Linked DNA regions of Ovis aries. The protein of the gene in region 1 interacts with the protein of each later gene in a pairwise test. Links are inferred from orthologs where the notes say so. Each region holds a gene or a part of one and is shown in the gene's direction. Other genes may lie near its edges.

Region 1 (10,105 bases):
TCCGAACTTCCGTATGTCATTCTTTTTTCAAAGGCTTATTTATTTGGCTGCGCCGGGTCTTAGTTGCGGCCTGTGGGATCCGGCTCCCTGACCAGGGGTCGAACGTGGGCCCCCTGCACTGGGACCACGGAGTCTTAGCCTCCAGGCCGCCGGGGAAGTCCCACGTATGTCGTCCTGACGGTCATTCTCCTGCCTTCTCTGCCACGAAGGTTCTGAAAGGGTTTGGAGCTTTCGCAGCAGCCTGGAGGCCCCTGTGTGCTGTGCTGGGCTCATCCGAGCCCTGGGGTCCCCCCCACTAGGGGTGTGGGTTACTGCTCCCGTGTGGAACAGTCCAGTCGACCGTGCTGAGTCCCCATCGGGCACTGTTGCTGTGACCCTGGGCAGGTCACTTGTGTATGCTGAACTTGTTTCTTCTGGAAATCCTGATGCTAATACTATGAGTTCTCAAAGTACGTACCCTAAGAGCTGACACATAAGGAGTGCTTGCCATGTGCCTGGCCATATTCTAGATCCCTGACGTGAATTAGCACAGGACTTCTCTGGGGGCCCGGTGGCCAAGACCCTGTGCTCCTCAGCGCAGGGCACCTGGGTTCCATCCCTGGTCAGGGAACTAGATTCCGCATGTTGCAACTAAGACTCAGTGCAGCCAAATACATAAATAAATAGTAAAAAAAAAATAAAATAAAATAAGCTGGTGCACTCTTCACTACCTTAGAAGAAAAGTGAATCGACTCATTTAATTGTCGGGCAAGCCCTGTGGAGGAGGTTGTGACTCTCTGTAAGGAGAGCACAGAGATGTTCGGCAGCTCGCCTAAGGTCGCACAGGCATGGGGTTGACAGAGCGACGGCTCACACTCCAGCCGCGTGGCCTGAAGCCCACGTAACCCCTACACCCTGCTGCATGGGCTAATGCGTGTCAAGCCCTTAGCAGCAGGCAGCACAGAACGGGTGCAGGAAAGCCTTCCAGTTGCTAAAGATCCAGTGGACGGAGGAGCCTGGAAGGCTGCCGGTCCATGGGGTCGCTAAGAGTCGGACGTGACTGGGCGACTTCACTTTCACTTTCACTTCCATGCATTGGAGAAGGAAATGGAAACCCACTCCAGTGTTCTTGCCTGGAGAATCCCAGGGACGAGGGAGCCTGGTGGGCTGCCGTCTCTGGGGTCGCACAGAGTCGGACACGACTGAAGCGACTTAGCAGCAGCGGCAGCAGCAGAGGGTCTTCTGCTGGCTCCTGGCAACGCTTAGGCACTCCGGTTCCGAATTGTTGTTTTAAGGTGGTAAAATACCCGTAATAGTATGCACTGCCTAAGCTCTGCTGGGTCTCTGTCGCTGCAGAGGCTTTCCCCTAGTCGCAGTGAGCGCCGGCTACTCTCGGTTTGTGCAGCACGGCTCTAGGGCGAGACGGCTTCGGGATATGCACTCCCGGGCTCTAGGGCACAGACCCAGTGCTTGTGGCGCCCGGGCTTAGCTGACTTCCCTGGTGGCTCAGACAGTAAAGCGTCTGCCTGCAATTCGGGAGACCCAGGTTCGATCCCTGGGTCAGGAAGATCCTCTGGAGAAGGAAATGGCAACCCACTCGAGTATGCTTGCCCCGGAAATCCCATGGATGGAGGAGCCTGGTGGGCTACAGTTCATGGGATCACACAGTCAGAGACGACTGAGCAACTTCACTTTCATGGACTTAGTTGCTCTGGGACATATGGGATTTTTCTGGACCAGGGATCGAACCCATGTCTGCAGGCGGATTCCTAACCACTGGGCCACCAGACAAGTCCTAGAAAAATGGTCAAGAAAGTAAATCCTAAAAACTCTCACCCCGAGGAGAAATTTTTTTTTCCTTATTCTTTCTCTTCGTTTTTTTATATGAGAAGATGGGTGTCAGCTGAACCTATTGTGGTAATTCTTTCACAGCATATGTGAATCTAACCATCAAGCTCGACGCCTTAAGCTTAGTGATGTGTATCAGTTATTTTTCAATAAAACTGGAAAGATGTTAATTACTGATATAATAAAAAGAAGCTAAGGTGGTCCTGAGGATGTCTCCAGTCAAACTGCACCCATTTCTCAAGGGAGGAAGCTGAGGCTTAGGGGTGGGAGGCAGCTGGCCCTCGGGCACACAGCAGAAGCCAGGATCTGACTCGTGGGAGTGCCAGGCCAGGGGGCTCTGACGCACAGTCCAGTTGCTACGTGGGTGCACGTGCCGTCTGTGTCTGCATTCACGGTCCTTCCTCGGAGTGGAGCAGAGGAAGCCTGGGACGCTGGGGCGGGGCGGGGAGGGGGAGCCAGGCCCAGGTCCTGGGGGAGGAGGGCAGCGGTGCCTCTGCCCAGAGCATGACTCCTTCTCTCGCACAGGAGAGGCCACCCTACAACCTCAAGGCCTTCAGGCTGTGCATCAGCTTCCCGAGGGAGTACCCGTTCCAGCCCCCCACGGTGAAATTCACCACCAGGATCTACCACCCCAACGTGGACAGGGACGGGAGGGTGTGCCTGCCCCTCATCAACAAGAAGAACTGGAAAGCCAGCACCAAGACCTGCCAAGGTGGGCTGGGTCCCGCCAGGACAGGGCCCCAGACCGAGTCGGGGCGGGGGTCACGGGGCCACTTTCGTGTCGGTGGCTCCTGTTTACTGCCGTTCAGTCACTAAGTTACGCCGGACTTTGTGACCCCAGGGACAGTAGCCCCCAGGCTCCTCTGTCCGCGGAGTTTCCCAGGCAAGAAACTACCAGGGCTTCACTGGGGGCTCAGATGGTAAAGAGTCTGCCCGCAGCGCAGGAGACCCAGGTCTGATCCCTGGGTCAGGAAGATCCCCTGGAGAAGGGAATGGCCGCCCACTCCACGATCCCTGCTTGGAAAATTCCATGTACAGAAGAGCCTGTACAGTCCATGGGGCTGCAAAGAGTCAGACGTGAGCGAGTGACTGAATTCGCTGAATTCGCTTGTTTAACTCAATGAAACTAAGCCATGCCGTGTGAGGCCACCCAAGACGGGCAGGTCATGGTGGAGAGGTCTGATAGAATGTGGGCCACTGGAGAAGGGAATGGCAAACCACTTCAGTATTCTTGCCTTGAGAACCCCATGAACAGTATGAAAAGGCAAAAAGATAGGGCACTGAAAGAGGAACGTCCCAGGTGGGGAGGTGCCCAGCATGCAACTGGAGGTCAGTGGGGAAATAACTCCGGAAAGAACGAAGGGCCAGAGCCAAAGCAGAAACAGTCCGCAGCTGCGGATGGGACTGGTGGTGGACGCAAGGTCCGGTGCTGTAAGCACAGCCGAAGGGCGGGCCTAGCGATGACGTGCGTCGCTTCAGCAGGCACTCTGACACTGCGCTGAAAGCTTCACACGGTGTCTTTTTAGTTCACTTTTTTTTTTAACTGAAGTATGGTTAATTTTGAGGGAAGGAAATGGCTATCCACTCCTGTATTCTTGCCTGGAAAACGCCATGGACAGAGGAGCCCGGCAGGCTAATATAGTCCATGGGGTTGCAAAGAGTCGGACACGACTGAGCGACTTCACTTTACTTTTACGGTTCATTTACAATGTCGTGTTGGTTTATGGCACACAGCAAAGTGATCCGGGGATCCACGTGAATATGCGTTCCTTCCACACTCTTTCCCACTGCGTCTATCACAGGTGCTGAGTGGTTTCCCAGGCGACACAGCAGGGCCTTGCTGACTGTCTTTGCGTGCAGCAGTTCGTATCTGCTCACCTCTAGCTCCTGGTGTCGCCCTCCTCTCCTGCTTCCCCTGGGTCTGTGAGTGTTTCTGCTTTGTACGTGAGTTCACGTGTATCTTTTTACGATTCCACATGTAAGGGATATCATACGGTATCTGTCCTTCTCTGCCTGACTTCCTTCGCTTGATACGGTGATCTCCAGGTCCATCCGTACGTTGCTGCAGATGGCGTCCTTTCACTGTGGTTTGCGGCTGAGTACTGTTTCCCGGTGCGTGTCTACCGCGTCTTCTTTACCCGCTTGTCTGTCGGTGGGCATTTAGGTCGCACTCATGTCCTGTCTGTTGTAAGCAGTGCTGCTGCGGACGTTGGGGTGTGCGTAGCTTTTTGAGTTAGCGTTTTCTCTGGGTATATGCTCGGGTGCGATTGGTGGATCGTGCGGCAACTCTACTTTTATTTTTTTAAGGAACCTCCTACTGGTCTCCATAGTGGCTTCACCAATTTACATATCCCACCAACAAAGTAGGAGGGTTTTCTCTTCCACCCACCCTCTCCAGCATAAAAAGTCACTTTTTTCTTCCAGATGGTATTTTTGGTGTACATCCATGGATGACAAATTGGAATTATACTGGATTAATCATAATTCAGGAATACAAAAATGGAGCTGATGGCCCTTGAGGACTTGGTCTCACATACGTCCCTGCACCACTGAGAACCTGAACTTTCTAACCCAGGGCAATCAGCCATTTTTAACACATCAGCCTCATTCAGTCCCCCAGAAGCCCCTTGAAATAGTGCTCTCATCGGCCCCATCAGGACACGGGCCTGTGAAAGCTGAGCTCTTACCTGAGCTGGCAGACGGCAGAGCTGGGATTCGAGGCCTCGCTTGGCCGGCTCTGAACCGCGCGGCTCAGCAGAACTTTCTTCAGTGATGGAGTCGGTCTATAGCGGCCCTGTCCAATGCCACAGACACTGGCCCCATGTAGCTTTCAAGCACTTGAAGTGTGGCTGTTGGGACTATGAACTGCATTCCTAATTGTCATGAATTTCAATTAATTTAAATCAAGATGACCACACATGGCTGCAGCGACAGGTCAGGCACTGTGGCCCTAGTCGTGGACGTAATCAGTATGTGATCAGTCCTGTTTCTGGGGGCTTCCCTGGTGGTCTAGTGGCTGAGACTCCACACTCCCAATGCAGGGGGCCTTGATTTGATCCCTGATCAGGGGACTAGATCCCACAGGCTGCAACTAAAGATCCATAATGAAGACCCAGGGAGGCCAGATAAATAAATAAATGCTTTTAAAAAATATCCCACCTCTGGATCAGCTCGGGAGTTCTTAACCCTGGAAACGAGTGCTGGGGAGAGGCAGAGGCGTGGTCCTTGGTGAGCACCAGAGCTCTGCAGAGCGCCCCGAGCCCAGGGCCGCACGCTTGTGTGCATGCCTACGGGCACAAGGGGGGGGCACTGCCTTCCCGGTTCCCAAAGTCACCCGTGAAAGATTTCAAGCCACAAGGCAGGAGTGGTTTCCAGTCTTGAGCCTCGGAACCCTTTTTTCCCCAAATAAAAAGTTTTGGAGTCCTGTTACCACCTTCGTGGACATGAATTTGAGCAAACTCCAGGAGATAGTGGAAGACAGAGGAGGCTGCGTGCTGCAGTCCTCAGGGTCTCAGAGAGTCAGACGCAACAAAAGCAGAGTTCTGGCTGAAAAGGGAACAGAACTCAGACACCGCATTGATTTCACCGACCCTCGCGACCCTTGGGGCCCCATTTGAACAGCTTCTGTGACACCGTGGAACACAGGTTGGAAACCGCGGAGATAACTGCTCATGAGAGCTTCGGACGCCGTCATCGGGGACCCTGAGTGGCATCTGATTTGCTCGTAGAGAGCAAATCCTAGTAGAGCCGTCCTAAGGCGTGGGTCGGTGTGGGTTCCGGGAGGATCTGGGAGTGGGCGGCATCGCTTCCTTCCCAGGAGTTTTTTCTCTCCCTCCTGATGTCCTGATCTGACTTCTCTCCCCAGTCCTGGAGGCCCTCAACGTGCTGGTGAATCAGCCGGAGCCGGGAGAGCCCGTTCGGCTAGAGCTCGCGGAGCAGCTGACGCAGGACCCAGAGCTGTTTGACCGGACGGCCCAAGAGTTCACCCTCCAGTTTGGAGTGGACCGGCCCTCCTAAGCCGGCTTCTGACCCGCCTGCTTTCTGTGTGACGGATGGACGCCCCTCATGGACGGGGGGCCAGAGCCTCTTTGCGATCTTGCACTTGCTCGTGTCTTCCAAGATTTCCTTCTTAGGTTGTGTGTGTGTGTGTGTGTGTGTGTGTGTGTGTGTGTGTGTGTGTGTGTGTGTACGGGGAGGGGACTGCCGTTATGAGTGTGGACCCACTGGCCACAGATGTGCTTTCCCCAGCCCCTTTCTCTGCCCCAGAGCCAGAGGCATTTAGGTTTGCAGACTCAAAATCCAGCTCTCCAGTGCTCCGTGATGGGGTTCCTGGTCCCACCGGTTGGTCCATCTTAGAGACTCAGGTCACCTTCCCAGCCAGATGAGCAGCCAACCCGAATGCCCGCCCCTCACAGAGCCCTGCTTTGGGGCAGCAAGTCAGGTGGGATGCATACCAGGAGGGGGTCAGGGGGAGGAGGGACTCTTAAAACCAAGTGCTCTGGGGATGGAGCGGTTGCATTGTAGACCTGTATGGATTTAGGTGCAAAACCTTTGTTTCCACTGATGAATCATAAAGTGAAGAATCTCCTCTCCACCCCAGAAATCTGACTGTACTGTCTTTCGTTTTGTTTTTAAAGATTTACTTATGTATTTCATTTTTTGGCCGAGCTGGGACCGTCACTGCTGGGTTTCCTGGAGTCGCGGCAAGGGGGAGCGACACGCTAGTTGCAGTTCCTGGAGTCTCGGCAAGGGGGAGCTCCTCGCTCGTTGCAGCCCCGGGCTTCCCATCGCACGTCCCCTCTTGCCGAGCGCGGACCCCAGGCTCACGGACTCAGCAGCTGCAGCTCATGGGCTCGGTAGTTGTCGCACGTGGGCTTAGTTGCCCCGCGGCCTGTGCAGTCTTCCCCGACGAGGGATCGAACTGGCGTCCCTTGCACTGCAAGGCGGAGTCTTAACCCTGGGCCACCAGGGGAGCCCCGACTCCATGGTTTTTAAACCACTGCTGTCCGGTTTGGTGGCCGGTTCCTAGCGTCCGGCTTTACGCCAGGAGGGGTTTCCCTTCCAGCTTGAGTCCAAGGGGAGCCATGGAGACCGTGAGTTTGCTCAGCTGTTAAACACAAGGGTCCACCCCTGAGCGTTCACTGAGGGGGCAAGTGGTTCATCAGGAGGAGGCTTGTTTAGCTGCAGTCGAATGAAAGATGCTTGCTTCCGGATCAACGGAGGGCTCGCGGGGCACGGATCCTTGTGTGACCCCAAGCGCTGTGGGAAAAGCTGGCTGTGAGGGACCCGGCCATCCTCAGCGAGAGGGGTCGTAGACCCACCCACAGGGGTAACGCCCCCTGTTTTATACAGCAGGCGACCAAGGCTAACCGAGCCCTCCAGTGGGTTGCCACATCCCCTCTGCTGACCTGGGCGGAGTCTGCACCTCTGCCACAGTGCCGAGCTGGCGGCTTTCATTTCTGTGTTTCTCCTGAGCCGCTCTCATCAGCGCACATGCTCCCAACGGCTGATAAAGCCAGACAGGATTGTTAGGAAATTAGGGTCAGCTCTGGGCTTCCCTGGTGGCTCAGCGGTAAAGAATCTGCCTGCAAGGCAGGAGGTCTCGCTGGAGGAGGGCATGGCAACCCACTCCAGTATCCTTGCCTGGAGAATCCCATGGACAGAGGAGCCTGGCGGGCTGCAGCCCACGGGGTCGCACTGAGTCGGGCGCGACAGAAATAACTAAGCAAGCAGCTGCAGCAGCGTACTCAGCTCTAGGGCTCGTCTCTAGTGAGCAGTGGAAAACAGAAACAAAACCTCAGCCAGAGTTCAGGGATTATCTTGGCACAAAGGAGGAGCTTCTGGAGGAGCTTCTAAAGCCACTGGCATTTTTTTTTTTTTCCCATATTTTTGGCCGCACCACACAGCATGCAGGATATTAGTCCCCTGACTTGGGATTGAATGCATGCCCCCTGCAGTAGAAGTGTGGGCTCTTAACTACTGGACTGCCAGGGAAATCCCCAACCACTGGCCCTTCAGAGACAGAACATGGAGTATCTTAGGGTCAAAGGAGTCACCTCCAGGCCCCATGAGCCGAGTCTGAGTGAGGGTTCTAGAGAATCTTCTCCTCCAGTCCCTGTCCTGGAATTCCCTAATGTAGGAGAAGTGTGGAAAGAGGGAAGAACGTGGGAAGGTGCCACCCGTGGCTGGAAGCGTGAGGATGTCGCTTCTTTGGGCCACTGCCTCAGTTCAGTCGCTCAGTTGTGTCCGACTCTCTGCGACCCCATGAGTCGCAGCACGCCAGGCCTCCTTGTCCGAGAACGTGTATGTGGCAGGCCCCAGGCCAGGTCTTTGGTCCTTTGTTGTCATTGTTAGTCGCTAGATTGCTAAGTCACGTCTGACTCTCTTTGACCCCATGGACTGCAGCGCGCCAGGCTCCTCCGGCCCCCACTGTCTCCCAGAGTTTGCTCAAAATCATGACCACTGGGCCAGTGATACTGTCTACGTAATCCCATTTAACCTTCACAGCACCTGCGGGATTTTGAGCTGCTATTATCCCCGTTCAGATGGCGAGCTGAAGCTCAGAGAGCTTTGCTCACTGCCCAGGGACACACAGCTTCTTGGCACAGATGCCTGTCACGGTTGTTGAGAAAATCACCTCAGGTGAGGAAAGCGGGCAGCCGGGGCTGCTTATCCCAGAGTGAGAGAGGTCCCCAGCAGGGTAGGGAGGGAGCCCCGGGGAGCCAGACGGGATTTTACAAAAGAGCCTTTAATGCAGTTAAGACTGGGGCCGCCACCTCCGTGGAGCTGAAGGGGGCTCCGGGCCAGCACCGGCCAGCCCCTCATTTCTTCTTGGTCTTCACCAGCCCCTTCTGCACGAGGCTGCGGTACAGCTCCTGGATGTAGGTGTAGACGCACTTGGAGTCGGGCACCGCCAGCCGCACCATGTCGTCCACCTCCAGCAGCTGGGCGCAGTCGGCCAGTTTCCTGAGGGGCAGACGGGGAGGGGTGAGAGGTGGGGTTCAGAGAGCCGACAGGGAAAGAGGTGGGGGTCTAAGGGACGGGGTGGGGCAGCCCCCCAAGGATGAAGCCCGCAGGACTGTGTGCGGCAGCGCTGGGACTTCGTCTGGCGCAACTATCCCATTGTACAGATGAGACAGCTGAGGCCCAGCGGAGTCAAGACTCAGACTCAGGTTTTGATTCCAAAACCTGTGTGTTTATGCCCCACGTGTCGTCACGTGGGAGCGGGGCCCTCCGGTCTGGGGTTCCGCGGTAACCCACCCGTCTGTGTGCCCCTGTGTCCGTCCTCTGGAAGGACAGGCCCCGCGGGAGGAGTGAACAGCACAGAACGATAATCCTGGCTACAGTGTGGGCTTGCAGCCTCAACTCTCCACCTCAGCCAGGCTCTGTGCATGCACTGAGGGGCACCACGTGCTAGGCGTTCTTCCAGGGAGTTCAACACTGAACAGAATAAGAACCCCCCATTCTCATCAACGTTCTCGTGGCAGAACACAGGCAGTCGTCAAACAAATTGACGGTATGTCAGAGGATGAGAGATGCTACAGAGAAAAATAAGGCAGGGAAGGACAGGACATGTTTGTGTTCAGGGGGATTTGCTTTTGTAATATGTTGGTGGTGGCGTTTATTTACTCATTGTCAGTGCCTCACAGCTTCTGGGATTTTAGTTCCCTCACCGAGAACTGAACCTGGGCCCTCAGCAGTGAGCGCGCAGATTCCTAACCACTGGACCGCCAGGGAGTTCCCCGAAAAGAGAGAGAGAAACAAGTCGCTCAGTCGTGTCCAAATCTTTGCAACCCCATGGGCTGTAGCTGACCAGGCTCCTCCATCCACGGGATTTTCCAGACAAGAATACTGGAGTGGGTTGCCATTTCCTTCTCCAGGGGATCTTCCCGATCCAGGGATCGAACCCGGGTCTCCCACACTGCAGGCAGACTCTTTACCATCTGAGCCACCAGGGAAGCCCAGAGTTCCCCTAAGGGGTTTTTAATAGGAGAAGTTCACTTAAATAGTACTTTTAAGCTCAGGAAAGTAAATCGGGTACATGTTTGCAAGAAGGGGGTTCCAGAAAACAGCAGGTGCAAACGTCCTGAGGCAGGAGTGCTTGAGCAACTGCATGGAACTTAGCAGCAAGTCCTATTTCCCTAACTTCCCAGCTGCTCTTTGGGAGCACGAGCTACTCCTGGCCTCGCTGAGGCCAACCATCTGATCTAAGCACTGTTGGGGCCTTGCCACCACGTGCTGGGAGCCTTAACAAGTGTTTCCCTCTCCCCTCTTTTTT
Region 2 (10,340 bases), on another chromosome or scaffold:
AAGGACAGAGGAGCCTGTTGGGTTGCTGTCTATGGGGTCGTACAGAGTCGGACATGACTGACGCGACTTTAGCAGCAGCAGCAGCTACGACCTTTGATGATGTTTTTATTTTTGTTATGAAATTATTCTCCAAATTTTAGTCACACATGGGCACTGTCTAGCTGTTTGTTTAGTGAGCTGGGGGGTGCTGAAACAAAATACTATTGGCCCAGTGGCTTAAATGATGGAAGTTTACTGTCTCACAGTTATGGAGGCTAGAAGTCTGAGATTAAGGGGCCAGCAAGGTTTATTCCTCCTGAGGGCTGAGAGGAACCTGAAAGCTGTTCCAGGTCTTCTCCTAGCTTCCAGGGGTCAGGTGGAATCTTCAGTGATGCTTAATTTATCTCCATAAATTAATTTATCTCCATCCCTTCATGTTCCCAGAGTGCTCCCTTTATGTACCTGTTTTGAAATTTACCCTTTGTTTTTTAATATTTGTTTCTACTTATTTATTCAGCTATGCCAGCTCTTAGTTGCAGAACTCAGGATCTTTAGTTGTGGCACAAAAACTCTTAGCTGCGGCTTGTCGTACCTAGTTCCCTGACCGGAGGTGGAACCCAGGCTCCCTGCATTGGGGCATGGAGTCTTAGCCACTGGACCCCCAGGGAAGTCCCTTGAAATTTACCCTTTGTATGAAGACACCAGTCATGGTGGATTAGGGCCCACTCTTCTCCAGTACGTCCTCAGTTCAGTTCAGTTCAGTCGCTCAGTCGTGTCCGACTCTTTGCGACTCCATGGACTGCAGCACGCCAGGCCTCCCTGTTCATTACCAACTCCCGGAGGTTACTCAAACTGATGTTCATTGAGTCTATGTCCTCACTGAGTTAGTATGTCCTCATCTGGACTAATTCCATCTGCAATGACCCTATTTCCATACGAGTTCATGTCAGGAGGTGGGGTAGGCTAACACTTCAACCTGTGAATCTGGAGACACAATTCACCCCTGAAAGTGAAAGTCGCTCAATCGTGTCTGGCTCTTTGCAACCCCATGAACTATACAGTCCATGGAATTCTCCAGGCCAGAATACTGGAGTGGATAGCCCTTCCCTTCTCCAGGGGATCTTCCCAACCCAGGGATCGAACCCAGGTCTCCTGCATTGCAGGCAGATTCTTTACCAGCTGAGCCACCAGGGAAGCCCAAGAATACCGGAGTGGGTAGCCTATCCCTTCTCCAGCGGATCTTCCCAATCCAGGAATTGAACCAGGGTCCCATGCATTGCAGGTGGATTCTTTACTGAATGAGCTATGAGGGAAGCCCAATTTACCCCTAGCAGTGCTCTTTCTATGCGATTACAAGGATGAATTTCCCCCTTTCCATGTGTTATCTTTCCTAAATTTTATTTTTTCTTCCTTGAGAATTGTGGGCAGATTCTTTACCATCTGAACCCACCAGGGAAGTCCTCTGAAAGACTGAGGGCAGGAGGAGAAGGTGGCAGTAGAGGATGAGATTGTTGGATGGCATCACCGACTCCATGGATGCATGTTACAGCAGACTTCGGGAGATAGTGAAGGACAGGGAAACCTGGCATGCTGCAGTCCATAGAATCACTGAGTCAGACTCGACTTAGCGACTGAACAACAAGGCTGGGAAAGATAGAGGGGAGGTGTTTGTGGGAATGGAGGCAGGGGTTGGACAAGAAAAGCTTTCCTAAGAGTCCTTGAGAGCAGCAGAGACTTTGCATTGCCCTGGGAGGTGAGGAAACTTGCAGCTTTCTGGCCCACCTGGGAAGCTGGGCCCCTGGTAGAGAAACTGAGCGTAGCCTGCTTGGAAGGGACCCAGGACTCAGGGAAGGAGCCTTCTAGATAGACAGGGAGGTGGGCTGAGCATGAAGGGTTACACCCTGGATCCCAGCACCATAAAACCCGCCAGGGACCCATGGGCCTCCAGGGAGAGACAATCAGAGCAACAGCTGACATTTAATTGCCTGCTACCTTCCAGAAATAAGGAATTGACTTTAAGGCAATTTTTAAAATTAAAGAAATGTGAATATTCTGGACTTTCAGAATGTGTGATCATGAACCCATGCAAACTCTACCGCCTGAAAAGGTTTAAATTTAAGCCACCGAATGAATCCTGATCTTCACTCAGTTTTGTAGCTAGAGAAGGAACTTCCTAATGGACTTCCATTTCTCCAGCCTCTGGACCATTTGCTGGGGCATTGACTCCCTGGCAACAACCTAGCACAAAATCTTGCCCTCAGTAGGTAATCAACAAGGGGCTTCTTCAGAATCATGAGTCATGCTGCCTACAGGCACAAGTGCTTAGCAACAGTGGGTATTTTTAAAAATGAGCTTGACACAACAAACGTCTGGGTGAGACGGTTGAAAGCCATGCGAGGAATGGACTGAAAATCAATCAGTGATGGGTGAATGTGACCTCGAGAGATACAGGCAGCTCGTTGGAGAGAACTAGGAAGGACACGGCTCAGGGCAGAGGACTCATCTACATTTACTGAGCACTTACTATGCCCAAGGCCCTCTGGGAAATTCAATAGAAAATTTACTTCATTTCTCATCTACAGACTCTTATGACCTAAAAATCAGACAGTAAATATCCAAAACATGAAGTCTAACAGATGCCATGGAAACAAAAGAACTATTACACAACTCCAGACATCTGGAGATGGGGAAAGCAGTGATAGGTTAGGAAGACTTCATAGAGAAAAGTCCTGAAACTTGAAATTCAGGGCACGGCCTGCTGCAAACTGTGTTATCAATGATGATGCTGACTTTCCCCGTCTCCCCAACAACAGGCAGGTTAACAAAGACAAACAAACATGGGAATGACCTCACACACACAGTCACACACATACACATCACTGCTTAAGCACTTGCAAGAGACACAAAGGCTCAATGACACAATTGAATGAGAGGTTGGTTTTATACATCAACCCTCTCCTTGCCAACCTCCCTCCTCCCCTCTCCCCCAGGCTTGATTCCCAAGCCCCTGGTAACTACAGAAGCATCTGCATCAGTGTGGACACATTCATCACTTCCCCGGATACTTGCTCTCATCCATCCATCCCTCCATTCATAAGCAGTATCGCACCAGTGCTTTCCTGGCTCCACAACCCCTGTACAGAAGGGCCGAATATATTTTCTGTGAAGCTCAGGCGTTTATGCAGAACCATTTTCATCTTCTGGTGAGAGGCTGGGGTAACCAAGTGTTGTTAGAATTCTTCCCATTGTGCCTTCTTTCTTGAATGATGACATTTATGCAAAGAATTTGACAGAGACATCAGAAGCTCTCATTCATATTTGGGGAGGGATTCATATTTGAGAAGTTACCAGAATAACTTCTCAGTGTAGATGAGACAGATTTATTATTATTTTTTTTGTAAAGATGTGTATGTAGTAGAGGAAGATAAATTATGCAGTGTCAAGATAGCTAAGAATATTGTAGTTTGGGGGGAAATGAGACAAAGTACAGCTAAGGATTATGGAATCCTTACAATTTTCCAGTTATGTTGAGACTGCTCTTTGCTTATTTTCCTTATTTAATCCCTGCCAAGATCTCTATGACTTCTATGACCATTAGTAGTTTTCAGATAAGAAAATCAAAACACAAAGAAGTTAACTAACTTGCTCAGTTAAGGTCACTGGGCCCATTAGGTGATGGTACTAGACTGCAGAGTCAACACTGGAGGGTGTGGTGTTAAGGACGAAAGCAGTGAGGGTGGGTTTTCCCATACTTCGGGAGACGAATCTATGTATTGAAGGAGGCATTCTTTCATACACATCAATAGGTTTTGTTCAGGTACGCGTTCTGGAGACAGAATTAAATACCTGTGTAACTTCTAGTTACTAGGGGGAGTGGCAAGGAGAAATCTTACAGGAAAATTCTACCTTCAAATACGTTTGGCTCTAACAAGCTCTAAACGCTAAGGCAGAGGAAGTCAACAGCCCAGACTGGAACTCGGGAATCCACGGAGCCGAAGGACTGGACGAGCCCGGTGCTCCATCCGTCGAGCAGGTCAGGTACCGGGAGGCAAAGACCTTTGGCGCGATGATGAGATGCTAGCTTAGAAAGGGCCTCAGCCTTTACTCACGGTCCCCGCCAGGGCATGGAGCCCAGGTTCCGGGAGCCCGGATCTGGTCCGAGGCGGCGGCCCGGTTCTCTTTCTATCGCCGCGCTAAGAGTGTTTTGGGTCCCCCATTCCTCTCCCAGCTTGCGGATCTTCGTGCCCCCGAGCGTCGGCTAACCGAGGCCGCGGCGTTCCTCCGGGCAGCCTGGGGTCCGGGCGGTCCTGGGGGAGCCTGGGTCCCCGCGGGCCTCGCGCGGGCGGCAGGGGGCGCTGCGCGCCGGGCGGGGCGGGGGCCGAGCCCGTGCGCCCCGCGTCTTTGTGCCGCGCGGCGCCGCCGCCCAGTCTCCCCCCGCGGGCCGCGCGCCCCGGCTGGAGGGCGGGCGGGAATAAAGGGCGGCTCCGCGCGGGGCGGCGCGGACAGCCGGGCTCGGACCGCGGACCTCGGCGCTCGGAGCCCCGCCCGCGGCCGAGCAGGAGCGGCGGCCCCCACCCCCCGGACCCCGGACGCGCGGGATCAGGTGGGTGACGCGCGGCCCCTTTGTGTCGGCCTCGCTGGGGCGGGCGCGGCCCAGGGCCCCGGGGGAGGTGGCCGTGCCGAGCGGATCCGGCGGCGGCGACGGCCAGTCCATCCCCGCCAGGGGCGCCTCCCCGGCCCTGCCCTTGGGTGGCCCGTGTGCCGCCGCGTCCCGGCGCTCCGGCGGGTCCCGGGGGCGGCGGGGGCGGCCAATGGGGTCTGGCCGAGGCGATCCGGCGGGGCGCGGGCGGGCGGCGGGCAGGTCAGCCCGGCCGCGGTGGGCCAGCGCCGCGTCCTACCCGGTGCACATCCCGGCTCCCAGGACCACGGCCGCCCGGGTCCCTCCAAACCTTCCCCTCCCCAGGGGCACGCGGAAAGTTCTCCGCCACCTCCTACCCCCCATCCTACCCTCTGGCGGGCTCCCCAGCTCCCCTGCACTGTCCTGGGCACCCAGCTCTGGGCCTCCTGCGAATCTGGACGATCAGGTCCCGAGGAGGAAGGGGTTACTCACTGCGCCCTCATGATCTCGTAGATGTCCAGCTCCAAAAGTTCTCTCTCCCTGCCCTCTTCCCAGCGAACAGGCACAATCATCATAAAAAGCCCAGTCAACAAATAGTCTGTGCTGGCCTCCTGCCAGGCCTTAAGGCTGGGTGGAGGGAACCCAGGGGACTATCCCCAGGGGGTCCTGCCCTCCGTGGGATGAGGGGAATCTGGTCTCCGAACTGGAAACAGACTCACTTCTTGCTTTGATGGTGGGAAGGAAGCCCTTTCCCCAGGAGTGGGGCCTAGGGATCTGATAAGGACGCATTCCAGGCAATCTGGCCAGGGGCAGGGCAGATTAACCCCGTGGATAAAGAAAGTGTGAGACCCAGAGAGCAAGGTGAGGACCTCCTGCCTGAGAACCCTGGGACTTCCCAGGAGGGAGAGGTTGGGGAGGGAGGGTCTGGACTGCTGGTGAAGACGGAATTGAGTCAGAGCTTCGAGGTGGGACAGGTTCTGGGTAGCCAGAGGGAACTGGCCAGCGGAGGAAGGGAGAAAAGGGACACAGGTGTGAGCCTTGACCTTTTCCTCGGACCTGCAGCCCGTGTGCTCCTTGGATGTGGTCCCTCTGGGATGGTGCCGAAAGCAGGTTTTCAGGAAAGGGAACTGAGATCCCCCTTTCCTGGTCTTCAAAGGGTTTCTAGTGCCTTTTCAAATCTTACTTTTATTATTTTCTAGAGAGTGCAAAGGAGTTATGACTATTGTGGTCAGATGAGGGTAGGTGGTGAAATGTTGAATTCCAGACCAACTTATGGCCTTGATCCTGTGGCAGTGGGAGCCATCGATGGTTCTGGATGGCTCAGAGAGTGGGCTGGGCCCCCACTGAGAGTGGGGAAGGCGGCTTGAGGGGTGGGGAGCGAACCTTGCTGTCTGTTGTGGAAGGTGTGGCTTTTAGTCCCCCTGGTACTTCTCAAGAAAGGTCAGGCAGGGCTTGAGAACCTCAGGAAAAAGCAAGATGCAAACAACCCAATTTTAATGGGAGGGGAGTTTTCCAGATCCAGCACCATTGGAGTTTGGCAGTTTGTGTAAAAAGAAGCTCTGGTTCAAATGTCAGGATCCTTGGAAGAGAAACGGATGGACCAGTCAGATGCTGGGGGTAGAGCTGCGGCCAGTGGGTGATGATGTGGGCTCCCAGGGGCCTGAAAGATGGGGGTGTTGAGACTTGCATGAGCACTTTCAAACTCCTGTGTTTTATAAGCTTGTCCAGTGTGCTGGCTTTAATCAAGTGTGCTCATCGCACCCAGATCCTTGCCCGAGTACAGGGCTTGGCCTGTGGACTCCATGTGGTTTGGGACTCGGAAGGGACCTCCCACACTTCAGTGGAAGCTGCTGGCATTCAGCGGGGTGAACGTGCCATTCGGCCAGACGCCGGGAGCCACGTCGCCTGTGTTTTCCACTGTGGTTCATGGTTTGGCCCCACTGCCTTCTTTTGTGCAAATTTCATCTCCCTCTTAGAAGCCTCTCTCTCTCTGGTGTGGAAACAGGGAAAGTCTGTCCACACGCAGAGTGAGCATCGCAGAGCTCATTGGTCATCACAGATCCCCAGCCCAGCCACCCATTGTGACTGAGGACACTGTGGACTGGAGGGGGCGGTCAGGGGTGCGGCCACAAAGAGAGCCGTGGCCAGCTTGGGCCCCGCACCAGCCCTCCGGATGGTCTGCTGTTCTCTCTCTGGCTCCATGCTTAAACTGGGAGGATGGAGACATGTCCGCTGCCCTTGGGGTCTGCCGGTCTGGAGCCACTCCAGGGGACTCTTCCAGGGGATCTGGCCAAGTGAGGACCTGCCCTGGGTCCCTGGGGTGTGGACCGTCAGGGGCAGCCAGGAGGCTGTGAGTAGAATGAGATGCTTCGACGGAAGATGGACCCTGTCCACACTCACTTGGGGGAGTTTCCTACCTTTGAGGTCCAAGGACTGAGTTGAAGGTTCTTTCCTTTGAGATGAAAAAGTCATCCGAGGTCGTCATTTCTGGAAGCGGTCTCCTCTCTCCTTTGTTTCTGCATCACTGACACACATGCATACCTTTTCTTAATTAGATGAAGAAATTAAATGGAAGCAACTGTTCATATACCTGCTGGGGAGTTCGCCTGAAGGACAGAGCTTGTACAACTTTCTAACCCAGCTCTGTGACCTTGAGCAAGTGTCTTAACTACTTTGTGTGGCCCCAGTTTCCCCCCACTGTGAAATTAAGATGTTGGTCTAAATGATTGTCAAAATCCAGATATAAGAATGTGCTGGCTTTAAAGGTCTCTTCCAGGAGCATCAGTCTTTATAATGCAACCATTTTTAAGAAATTTTGCAAGATAAAAAATTATATGTATATATATGTATCAGTTTCAGAACAATGGTTTTCCTCAGAGATGATAAGTTGAGAGATGGGGCTTTGAAGAGGGTCATTCCTTGATGATGAGAGTCTGTATCTTCTTTCTTTCCTGGAGTCTAAAGCCTGGATCTGATGGTGTTTCCTGATAAGCCTGCAGGTGCAGAGAGAGCAGGGCTTTCTCTAAGGAGCAAACTGATGAGCTGGATGCAGGGTTAGGAGAAAAGTAAGTTCCTGGATGTCGTGATGAACTGTGCCAACTAGGTGATATTCAGTCTCTTGGGGTCTGACTTTGGAAAACCAGGAAGCGGTGGATGTTCATTTAGCCTTTCCATCACCAGGTGCCGATGGGAAGGGCTCTGAGTGCTGTGGACCCAATTCTCAGGTGGCCCGTAGGAAGGACAGGCATCACTACCTTCCCCGATCTACAGGGGAGGGGAGAGGCTTAAGGAGACCTTATGGAGTCCAATACCAGGCACTTGGTACATGCTAAAGCAGGCGTGGAACTCAGAGACCCTTGGGAAAAAGGTATATTCCTTGTCCTTGAGGAGGCTACAGTCTAGGGGTTGGGAAGCAGCCGGTCACAGATTGTTCTAGCGCTGGGGTCGGTACGCACAGTGCAGGGGAGCATGGTGAGGAGTTTGCCCTCTGGAGCTGGTGAGGCAGGCTGGGTCTTGAGGACGAGTCCCTGTTGGCAGGCAGATGAGAAGGTCAGGGTCACAGGCTGGGCCCGAGAGCAGCAAGAAGCTGCCTGGGGGTGCAGGGAACTTCCGGCTGGTGTAGTGGAGCTGTGCTGGATTTGTCCTGGGGGGTGACCCTGTCTCTGAACCCTGTTCAAAGCAAGACCCCCAGCTGCCACCAGCGCGAGTTCTTTGGATTCTTTTCTCTCTCTCCCGCCCCTGCCCCCATCCCGCCAGTTTGCTTGTAGAGGAGAGGGTGTCCTGGGAAGATGAGAGGAAGCCCAGCTGCAGCCCAGGGTCTGCTCGCTCTGTCTTGCAGGGTCACCTGAGCAAGGCTGCCGTGATTCCCCAGGGGGTGGCAGCCCGACCTGGTGGGTGAGCACTGAGCTGGAAGTGAGGCCTCTGAAGGATGCCAGTGCAGCTGGGGTCACCCCTGTTCCTGCCAGCTCCGCCCTGCAGGCCAGGACACAGCAGTGCTGCTGGGGTAGAGGATTCCAAACCAAAATACTGACTCTGTCTCTCAGGCTAGGTGATTGGTTAAAGAGGGCTTCACGTGTGTCCTTGGAACGCCTCCCGCACAGCGGTTGACCTGGGACATATTTTAGTTTAGGTCAGTAAGTATTCAAGCAGTCCTTTGAAACAGGGCATGTTTGATGTTGGGGTGCCAGCGTCTGGGTGATCTGGAGGGAGGTGGGACTGTGCCCGCTGCACCCAAGGAGCAGCAGAGACTGCCTCTCGGATTCCCGCTGACCTGCTAGCCTCACAGGCAGGCAGGGAGCCGTTCCCTGATGCTCTGTCTCTGCGTCTGGGAAGTGGTTCCCGGATGGCGGCAGGTGATGTGTGTGTCCTGCTCCCCATCCATGGTTGGCCTCTCTGCAGCTGCTCCGTCATTCCAGAGTAGCCCTGCCAGCCATCCCCTGCGGCCCCCCTCCCTGGTGAGGCTTGCCCACACTGCCTGCAGGAGGGGTAGCCTGCAGGACAGAGAGGCTCTTTGCTCCCCCAGCTCATGGGTGGAAAGTGTGCAGACCTCTGTGTTAGGGGCCTCTTTCACCTGAAGGTAAATCATCTCTTCCGTGGGTGTCCTGAAGCCTGAATTATTCAGGCGTGTGTCCATCCCGGGACAATCTTTGTTCCTTCTCTGTGGGGTCTCTCCCCGACTCCCCAACCCTCTTCAGGCTCACCACTGACCCAGAAAGTTGACAACTTTCTGGCTGAGACACTGCTGCTCATGAAGTCACAGCTGTGCCTCTGGATCGAGGCTCTGTAAGTTTCTCCTGGGTTCCAGCCCGTCTTTCCACACTGATCTCTTCTCAGCCTCCACACTTAGACCCTGAAACATTCTCCCTCCGCCTCCAGGTGTCAAATTCCTAATGATCCTTCCAGGCTCCACAGGCATGTTGCCTTTTTCTTAAAGCTGTGGAATCACTGATGTGGGGGCCGTGGAGGCCGACTCCTCCAGCAGTGGCGCCTTACAGAGGAGGAAATGCAGGCGTGGAGCAGAGAGGGAAAAATGCAGGCCCTGGAGCCCCATCAGATCCCTTCCCTTTCCAGCCCGAGCATCTATCTTCCTCCTGCTGTGAGCTGGGAGCCTCTTCTCTACCAGGTGTTTCTATGGTGGCTTTTTTTCAGAACCTGGAATTGCACTTAAGCTCTCTAATCTAATTTTTCTGTAACTTTATCCTTCCTTTACTAAATTGCAAGCCCTACAAATGTAGGGACCTATTCATTTTAACATTCCCTCAGTGCCCGTCATGGTGTCTCTAAGTGCATTTTTGCTCCGTGATTGAATCCAAGGGAAAGAAACCTGGTCCAGAAGGGAACGTGGAGTAGGTTATCGATGAGGAGATGGGATCCGGGCTCGTGTTCTGTTCTCCAGCAGGATCTGAACAAATAGAGATGTGCTCTGTCTTTGGGGAGGTCCAGCCACAGAGAAGGACACTGCAGGACTGTGTGGGGCCGAGGTGGGTGGGATGTTGGCTTGTGGTGCAGGGGTGCACCACAAGACCCAGCCCGCGGGTGGGCCTTTGGGACGTTGGGGGTCGGGCTGGACAGTCCTGGGTTGCCTGGACGTGGGGGGCAGCAGGCACCCCAGTTCCAGAGTTAGGTGGCAAGCCTTGCATGGACTGGTTGGAGGGGGCCAGGTGCCCTGAGCTCCATGGACAGGGAGGTCGAGACAGGGAAGGGGTTGTACAAGGCCCAGCCCGGGAGACTTGATGGGGGGACG

The links. The genes of interacting proteins can lie anywhere in the genome.
Region 2: the proteins of UBE2L6 (region 1) and RNF144A interact in a two-hybrid assay, tested with the Homo sapiens proteins (2 studies listed by BioGRID and IntAct). The link is inferred for Ovis aries from reciprocal best matches to the Homo sapiens genes UBE2L6 and RNF144A.

The regions. Positions count from the first base shown.
Region 1 is NC_056068.1:79,626,429-79,636,533, reverse strand, and holds the end of UBE2L6 (ubiquitin/ISG15-conjugating enzyme E2 L6), read left to right. Parts: intron 1-2,352; coding exon 2,353-2,539; intron 2,540-5,692; coding exon 5,693-5,844; 3' UTR 5,845-6,430; downstream 6,431-10,105. Other genes in the region: SMTNL1 (smoothelin-like protein 1), read right to left, coding at 8,649-8,793. UniProt on the Homo sapiens protein: Catalyzes the covalent attachment of ubiquitin or ISG15 to other proteins. Functions in the E6/E6-AP-induced ubiquitination of p53/TP53. Promotes ubiquitination and subsequent proteasomal degradation of FLT3.
Region 2 is NC_056056.1:16,762,580-16,772,919, forward strand, and holds the start of RNF144A (E3 ubiquitin-protein ligase RNF144A), read left to right. Parts: upstream 1-3,945; 5' UTR 3,946-4,012; intron 4,013-4,479; exon of another isoform or gene 4,480-4,582; intron 4,583-10,340. UniProt on the Homo sapiens protein: E3 ubiquitin-protein ligase which accepts ubiquitin from E2 ubiquitin-conjugating enzymes UBE2L3 and UBE2L6 in the form of a thioester and then directly transfers the ubiquitin to targeted substrates.